2 linked regions of the Saccharomyces cerevisiae S288C genome follow. Each later gene encodes a partner of the first gene's protein in a complex. Each region holds a gene or a part of one and is shown on either strand. Other genes may lie near its edges.

What was found.
Region 2: HRT3 (region 1) and CDC53 share a complex: the UniProt entries of both Saccharomyces cerevisiae proteins name them as parts of the probable SCF(HRT3) complex.

The regions. Positions count from the first base shown.
Region 1 is NC_001144.5:335,422-339,278, reverse strand, and holds HRT3 (SCF ubiquitin ligase complex subunit HRT3), read left to right. Parts: upstream 1-2,013; coding exon 2,014-3,048; downstream 3,049-3,857. Other genes in the region: CHA4 (Cha4p), read left to right, coding at 1-1,752; serine/threonine protein kinase KIN2, read right to left, coding at 3,246-3,857. UniProt on the Saccharomyces cerevisiae protein: Substrate recognition component of a SCF (SKP1-CUL1-F-box protein) E3 ubiquitin-protein ligase complex which mediates the ubiquitination and subsequent proteasomal degradation of target proteins. Probably recognizes and binds to phosphorylated target proteins.
Region 2 is NC_001136.10:222,317-227,501, forward strand, and holds CDC53 (cullin CDC53), read left to right. Parts: upstream 1-1,987; coding exon 1,988-4,435; downstream 4,436-5,185. Other genes in the region: SRF1 (phospholipase D regulator), read left to right, coding at 111-1,424; homocitrate synthase LYS21, read left to right, coding at 5,077-5,185. UniProt on the Saccharomyces cerevisiae protein: Core component of multiple cullin-RING-based SCF (SKP1-CUL1-F-box) E3 ubiquitin-protein ligase complexes which mediate the ubiquitination and subsequent proteasomal degradation of target proteins.

The sequences.
Region 1 (3,857 bases):
TTTCGTACCGAATGTGTATTCACTCAACAAGACTTAAGGAACAAAAGATATTCTACGACTTACGTAGAAGCTTTACAGAGCCAGATTCGGTCTTTGAAAGAACAGTTGCAAATATTAAGTTCCTCGTCTTCCACAATTGCTAGCAATGCTCTCTCCTCGTTAAAAAACAACAGTGATCATGGTGATGCTCCTAATGAAAAAATCTTAAAGTATGGCGAAACAGCACAATCAGCACTACCATCATCTGAAAGCAACGATGAGAATGAGTCTGATGCGTTCACCAAGAAAATGCCTTCCGAGAGCCCTCCACCAGTTGGCACAAATAGTATATATCCATCAAATTCCTTGTCTATAATAAAAAAGAAGACGGATGGAAGCACAAGATATCAGCAACAGCAGGTCAGCCTAAAAAATTTATCAAGAAGTCCCCTTATCTTAAGATCGTTGTCACTCTTTTTCAAATGGCTATACCCGGGACATTACCTTTTCATTCATAGAGAAACTTTCTTAAGTGCTTTCTTCGGTGATACTAACACTAAAAGTTACTATTGTTCCGAAGAATTGGTATTTGCAATCGCTGCATTGGGATCTTTGATTTCATACAAATCAGAAACTGAGCTTTTTCAACAATCTGAAGTGTTTTATCAAAGAGCCAAGACGATAGTACTCAAAAAAATTTTTCAACTGGAAGATTCTTCGTTAGCTGAATCGTCGTCCTCTTCGAAATTAGCAATCATCCAGACTCTATTGTGTTTGGCATTTTATGACATTGGAAGCGGAGAAAACCCCATGGCTTGGTATCTTTCTGGGCTGGCATTTAGGATTGCCCACGAAATCGGCCTACATTTGAATCCAGAAGCATGGAGTAATGTTTATGAAGACGAGCTGTCAATAATGGATTTTGAAGTGAGAAGTAGAATTTATTGGGGCTGCTACATTGCTGATCATTTAATAGCGATCCTCTTTGGAAGATCAACTTCCTTGCGTTTGTCCAATTCCACTGTTCCAGAAACAGACGAGCTACCTGAAATTGAGACTGGTATAGAGGAGTACATATATGACCCAAAAGTAATATTGTCCACTGCAAACCCCTTGAAGAAACTGATTGTGTTATCGAGAATAACGGAGATTTTTGCATCCAAGATTTTCAGCCCAAACGAAACTCTACTTCAAAGGAGTGAATACTTGGCCAAATTTAATCTGGAGGTATACAATTGGAGAAGGGATTTGCCCCCTGAACTACAATGGACCAAGAGGTCATTGATGGAAATGACAGATTTTAACCCAACCATAGCTTACGTATGGTTTCATTACTATATCGTGCTAATTTCCTATAATAAACCTTTCATATACGAAATCAAACAAAGCCGGGAATTGGTTGAAGGTTATGTTGATGAACTGTATTATCTTTTAAAAGTTTGGAAAAATAAATTTAAGACGTTTGAGAAGGCCACAATTTACATGATTTATTCTGCGATTTTAGCCATCCAATGCATGAAGTCCAACTTGATTAAAAAGGATAGAAAACAAGACTTCTTAAATTTTTTAAGTGCGCCTACCCTGAATTACGAACTTGCTAGAAAATTCATAGAAAACTCTGAAGATGCTTTGCATAATTCAGAAACTATGGATTTATTAGGGACTCTATCTCACGGTAACGATTTTGCCTTAGAGTACAATTTTGACTTTACTTTATTGAATGAGATTGATATGCTGATTGGTGGAAACACCAATGATGGTTTGTCGAAGTAATCTTGAGTGAAGAGGATATGTTTACTTGAACAAATATTCTTTATGTAATGTGTTTGTAGCCTTTTTATTTGGGAAGGAATATACCGCTATCCTTTCCCACCTCCGAACTTATCGATTCGGAATTTTAAAGAGCCTTCCAAATGACAAAAAAAAGGATTGTAGTTCCTAGATAGCGAAATCGACTGAGCAAGATAAAAGCAAACATTCCCCATCATCTTTGGCGACGACACATGTGTTCCATAAGCTAAACTCAAGGAGCAAATGATAGTAGATTATGAAAAGGACCCTAGGGCTAAAGAGGCTATTGCTATTTGGGAAAAAGGTGTACTGAAAGAGAAGGATGGGTCAATGTCAGATGCTATAAACTTCTATCGAAGTGCATTGAAAATCCATGATAATGTGGAATCACTGTACAGAAAAAAAATACTTGATGAGTGGATGCTGCACAAAAAACTATCGGGATTATCAATGACTACTGATGCTCCAGATGAACAAAATGAAACCGGTAAAGATGACTTATCTGTTGAAGAAAATGCTGAACTTCAACCCTGCTGGATTCTGGAAATCTTGCCTGACGACATTTTACTGAGAATTATTAAAAAAGTTATATTAATGTCTGGTGAATCTTGGGTGAATTTGTCGATGACTTGTTCCACCTTTAGCAAGCTTTGCTTCCACGATTCTGTGCCATTTAAAACTTTCGCGAAGTACATATATTCTAAGCAAATATACGACAAAATGGCAATGGATCTTAACGGAATCACCGATATAAATACCTTTGAAAAGGAAATATGGCGGGGTGATGATTATCGTATGTTAAGGGAAAGGCCATATATTAAATTCGAAGGTGTTTACATCAGTGTAGTAAATTATGTAAGATACGGTTCCAATGCAGAAAGTTCGTTATCTCTTTTAAAGCCAGTTCACATGATCACCTATTACAGGTATTTCAGATTTTATGAGAACGGCCAATGTTTGAGATTACTTTCTACAGATGAACCTAGCGCTGTCGTGAAGCACTTCTCCAAAGAGAACAAACCCAGGCATAGTCATATGTGTTATTGGAGCCTCGGATTTGATTATGATTTTGGTCATTTAAAGATAACAAGGTCAGATGAAAAGTATACGTTTATCGAAGAATTCCAAATCAAGAATCAAGGCAATAAGAGATATCAACGGTTGAAATGGCTAAGTTCAATTGTAGTGGATAAGGAAGGGAATGCATCTAACTGTTCGTTGAGAAATGAGAAATCTTTTTTCTTCTCCAGAGTGAAATCTTTCAAGGATCCTGGATGACATCGATGTTTTTTGCAGTTGTTTTACTTTATTTATTATTCTTATAGATTTATGTAGAACTATTATTTCATCATATGAAAGATTAAAGAAAGCAGATCTCAGCTTAAATAAATTATACTATAATATTAAAAAAAGATAAATATTAGATAATAAAAATTGAAAGACACACGTTGAAATATTTAGTAAGAACAACGTATCTATAGGTTTAATTCTTTTAAAATATACGATGCCAATTCTTTATATAGCCACGTATTACCAGAAACCTTTTTGAAATGTACACCTGCTAGGCCGACGATACGAACCTTTACAATGTGAATCTCAAATTTAATAGGAGGCCTTTCTTTTATACCAGAAGTATTGGTTTGCTCTGTTTGACCATTTACGTTATTTATATTTTGGGCTCTTGATGTTGTTAAAATATCATCCTGTTGTTGAACATAATCTAATGACATGGAAGATAGTTCCCCTGATGTACCATTACTTTGGTTTCCGTAGTTTGGAGACATTGGGATAGATGAATTTCTTTGATGTGTATTGGTCGCTAAAGGTGTTAGTGGTATATTATTCTGGCCCCTCTTATAAGAACCTTGGCGTTTTATCGAACTATTTCTTGATGCTGAGGACGCTGTACTATGGTAACTGGATGATAATTGACTGTCTAAACTATTTTGCAGATCCATCGCCTTTCCGGAATCCAAACCCACGCCAGTAGTGGTTATAACAGGGACAGCTGCAGTCTCAATAGATGGCCTTTGTTGGACACATATGAACCCGCCTTTCACTTCTTTGAAATCAATATTCATTCTTGT
Region 2 (5,185 bases), on another chromosome or scaffold:
AAAAATACTTTGATTGCTATTTCGAAACCGTGAGATTGCTGAGAAGGGAAAGTGAATGATATTTTTTTGCATTTTTTGAGGCGTTCTTTTTTTTTACACTGACAAATTTAATGGGGGATTCTAATTCCAGCCAAGAAGCGTATTCTGATACAACATCCACGAACGCTTCTAGAATCGCAGATCAAAATCAACTTAATTTAAACGTGGATCTTGAAAAAAATCAAACAGTAAGGAAGTCAGGTTCACTGGAAGCATTACAGAATGCAAAGATACATGTTCCCAAACACAGTGATGGTTCACCACTAGACTATCCAAAATTAAATACTTACACGTTTGTGCCTACCACAGTGCCGCCTTATGTTTTAGAGGCGCAGTTTGATAAATTAAGACTTCAGGATAAGGGCACCGTTGATGGAAATGTTACCGATGATAAAAATCTTCCAAAAGAGTTTAAATGGGGCCAGTTTGCATCTACCATCGGCTGTCATTCTGCATACACTAGAGACCAAAACTACAATCCTAGTCACAAATCCTACGATGGTTACTCTCTATCATCATCTACCTCATCAAAAAATGCGGCTCTTAGAGAAATTTTAGGTGACATGTGCAGCGAGTGGGGAGGTGAAGAACGACTAGAAGGTGTTCTACATTCAGAAATAGGTGCCAATTTAGAGTTCAACACGACAGAAGAGAGAAAAGAGTGGTTACAATATATCGAAAAGGTAAAAGATTTCTATTACGGTGATAATAAGAAGAACCCAGAATCACCCGAATCAGTACACAACAAAGTTTACAAGTCAGATTGGGTAAATGAGCTCAATAAAGAGAGAGAAAAGTGGCGGAGGTTAAAGCAAAGGAAGTTACAACAGTGGAGACCTCCTTTGACGTCGCTATTACTTGATAATCAATATTTGATTTTGGGTTTGAGGATTTTCACTGGTATATTATCGTGCATTTCACTTGCTCTGGCAATCAAGATTTTTCAAAACTCAAGATCAAATAACACCATCAGTGAAAGTAAAATCGGGCAACAACCAAGCACCATAATGGCCATCTGCGTCAACGCCGTGGCGATTGCGTATATTATTTACATTGCACACGATGAATTTGCTGGTAAACCTGTTGGTTTGAGGAATCCGTTAAGCAAACTGAAACTAATTTTGTTGGACTTACTTTTTATAATTTTTTCAAGCGCTAATCTAGCGCTGGCATTTAATACTCGTTTCGACAAAGAGTGGGTTTGCACTTCTATTCGCAGGTCAAATGGAAGCACGTATGGATACCCAAAAATACCGCGTATCTGCAGAAAACAGGAAGCTTTATCCGCTTTTCTGTTCGTTGCCTTGTTTATGTGGGTAATCACTTTCTCGATCAGTATTGTTAGAGTAGTCGAAAAAGTCAGTTCAATTACCAACAGAAACTGAGCTCGACAAATATAGAAATTAAAAGAATTCTTTTAGATACCAAGATTGACATTTATATGCATTGTATATTTTTGACTTAAAAAATTACTCCGGCTTGGCATTTATTCATTAACGGCGGGTTTGATTATATTAGGCTTTGTGCGATATAATATGTATTACCCGAAGGGAGGGCTATTGCACTTTCTTTTCCTTTCCGTTTTAAGGGCCCTTTTTCATTTCGATGTTTGATGGACACACATGAAGTGAAATGTGGCAAATAGAACATCTAGAAAAACTAGGGCATTAGGTAAAGTACCCCAGCAGAACTTCACTTTACAACGCAATTGATTCATATCACTGCTCTTTTATATTGTCCTTTTTCTCTTTTAGAGCTTTTCATCCGCATCTTCTAACTTCTGTGCACCCCTTTCATTGTTGATTACATTTTACCTCAGTTACACATTTCTTTTAGCAATTCGACATTGCTTCTACTTACCGATAAATAAGCGTACATTTTTGAGTCTTGAAAGGATTCTTACATATACCTAAACAAAGAATAACAACAAAATCGCAAGCAGCAAAGCATGTCTGAGACTCTGCCTAGATCTGATGATTTAGAGGCCACTTGGAACTTTATAGAGCCAGGAATTAACCAAATACTGGGTAATGAGAAAAACCAAGCATCCACGTCTAAGCGAGTTTACAAAATTCTTTCTCCAACCATGTATATGGAAGTCTATACCGCAATTTATAACTACTGTGTGAACAAATCACGCTCGTCTGGACATTTTAGTACTGACAGTAGAACTGGCCAATCAACAATTTTGGTTGGCAGTGAGATTTACGAAAAGTTAAAGAATTATTTGAAGAATTACATTTTAAATTTTAAGCAGTCTAATTCAGAGACCTTTTTGCAGTTTTACGTCAAGCGCTGGAAAAGGTTTACAATAGGTGCCATTTTTTTAAACCATGCATTCGATTATATGAATAGATATTGGGTTCAAAAGGAAAGAAGTGACGGCAAAAGGCATATTTTTGATGTAAACACCTTGTGCTTGATGACATGGAAAGAAGTCATGTTTGATCCGAGTAAAGATGTTTTAATAAACGAATTATTAGACCAGGTAACCTTGGGAAGGGAGGGGCAAATAATTCAAAGAAGTAATATTAGCACTGCCATAAAGTCTTTAGTTGCACTAGGTATCGATCCACAGGATTTGAAAAAGTTGAACCTAAATGTCTACATCCAAGTTTTCGAAAAGCCATTTTTAAAGAAGACTCAGGAGTACTACACGCAATATACAAACGATTATTTAGAGAAACACTCGGTAACTGAGTATATTTTTGAAGCACATGAAATCATCAAACGTGAGGAAAAAGCAATGACAATATATTGGGATGATCATACAAAAAAACCACTATCCATGGCATTAAACAAGGTCTTGATCACAGACCATATTGAAAAGTTGGAAAATGAGTTTGTTGTCCTTCTGGATGCCAGAGATATTGAAAAAATTACTTCTTTGTACGCACTAATACGCAGAGACTTTACATTAATCCCAAGAATGGCTTCAGTGTTTGAAAATTATGTTAAAAAGACAGGTGAGAATGAAATTTCGAGTCTACTGGCAATGCATAAACACAATATTATGAAAAACGAAAACGCAAACCCTAAAAAACTAGCACTAATGACAGCTCACTCCCTTTCTCCTAAAGACTATATCAAGAAATTACTGGAAGTACACGATATATTCTCTAAGATTTTTAATGAAAGTTTCCCCGACGACATACCTTTAGCTAAAGCTCTAGATAATGCGTGTGGTGCTTTCATCAACATCAACGAGTTCGCATTACCTGCTGGATCTCCAAAAAGTGCCACCTCGAAGACTTCCGAGATGCTAGCTAAGTACAGTGATATACTATTAAAGAAGGCCACCAAACCTGAAGTGGCAAGTGACATGTCAGATGAAGATATTATAACAATATTCAAATATTTGACCGACAAAGATGCGTTCGAAACTCATTATAGAAGACTTTTCGCCAAGCGTTTAATTCATGGCACTTCAACATCAGCAGAAGACGAAGAAAATATTATTCAAAGGCTGCAAGCGGCAAATAGTATGGAATATACAGGCAAGATAACTAAAATGTTTCAAGATATTAGACTTTCCAAGATCTTGGAAGACGATTTTGCTGTCGCCCTGAAGAATGAACCAGATTACTCTAAAGCAAAATATCCAGATCTACAACCATTTGTATTGGCAGAAAATATGTGGCCATTTTCATACCAAGAAGTTGAATTTAAGCTACCCAAGGAATTGGTACCATCTCACGAAAAATTGAAGGAGTCATACAGCCAAAAGCATAATGGTAGAATATTGAAGTGGCTATGGCCATTATGTCGTGGCGAATTGAAGGCAGATATTGGAAAACCCGGCAGGATGCCGTTCAACTTTACGGTAACACTGTTTCAAATGGCAATTTTGCTACTATATAACGATGCTGATGTATTAACCTTAGAAAATATTCAAGAGGGCACGAGCTTAACCATTCAGCACATCGCAGCGGCAATGGTACCATTCATCAAATTCAAACTGATTCAACAGGTCCCACCAGGGCTAGATGCTCTCGTGAAACCTGAAACACAATTCAAGCTATCACGTCCTTATAAGGCGCTTAAGACCAATATTAATTTCGCTAGCGGAGTCAAAAACGACATTCTGCAATCGCTATCCGGTGGAGGCCACGATAATCACGGTAATAAGTTAGGAAACAAACGCTTGACGGAAGACGAAAGAATAGAAAAAGAATTGAATACAGAAAGGCAGATTTTCTTGGAAGCTTGTATTGTGAGAATAATGAAAGCGAAAAGAAATCTGCCACATACAACATTGGTCAACGAATGCATTGCGCAATCACACCAAAGGTTCAATGCAAAGGTTTCTATGGTCAAGAGAGCCATCGATAGCTTAATACAAAAGGGATACCTACAGAGGGGAGACGATGGTGAATCGTATGCTTACCTTGCTTAATCATCTTTGAAGGCTTGTGCTGATCGAACGAAGCAAATCCTACGAGTAAATACATAAGCGTATACATATATATATATATATATATATATATATATATATGTATATATATATATGTGTGTGTGTGTAATTGTGTGTATTCAACTGAACTATGAAGAGTCTTTGACCTCTTGAGAATCTCATAGTATGAAGATATGGCACTTCTCTTTCCGTTGTAACATCCTTTACCGGGCGGCTTTTCGGCCTGCTTGAGAAGAGATCAGGCTGAAATGATGAGACTGACAACAAGGATCAGTCAGTGGCAGAGTTGAAATTCCGCTGGAAATCGTCACCAGCAGCTACCAGCTCCAAGAAATCCGCGTAGAAATCACGTCGCGCAATGTGCGATAGTGGTGGAACAGCGAAAATTAGTCACTTTGCAAAGATGCCAAGCTGATCGTTCTCGTTGTGTGTGATTCTACGATATTGCGCATGAGTGGTGTTGAGCATGCGTTTGTTCGCATTTTCATGCAGTCTCTTATATACTAATATATATATGCAACAGATTTCAAAATTTATCTTTCTTCTTGTTGCGTTTAGGCCTTTATTTGCTACACATTTAAAAGTGCAACGACAACCCAAGTAATTGTATACTTTAACAAACCATGTCTGAAAATAACGAATTCCAGAGTGTCACCGAATCGACGACTGCTCCAACCACTAGTAACCCATATGGCCCAAATCCTGCGGATTATCTATCCAATGTTAAGAATT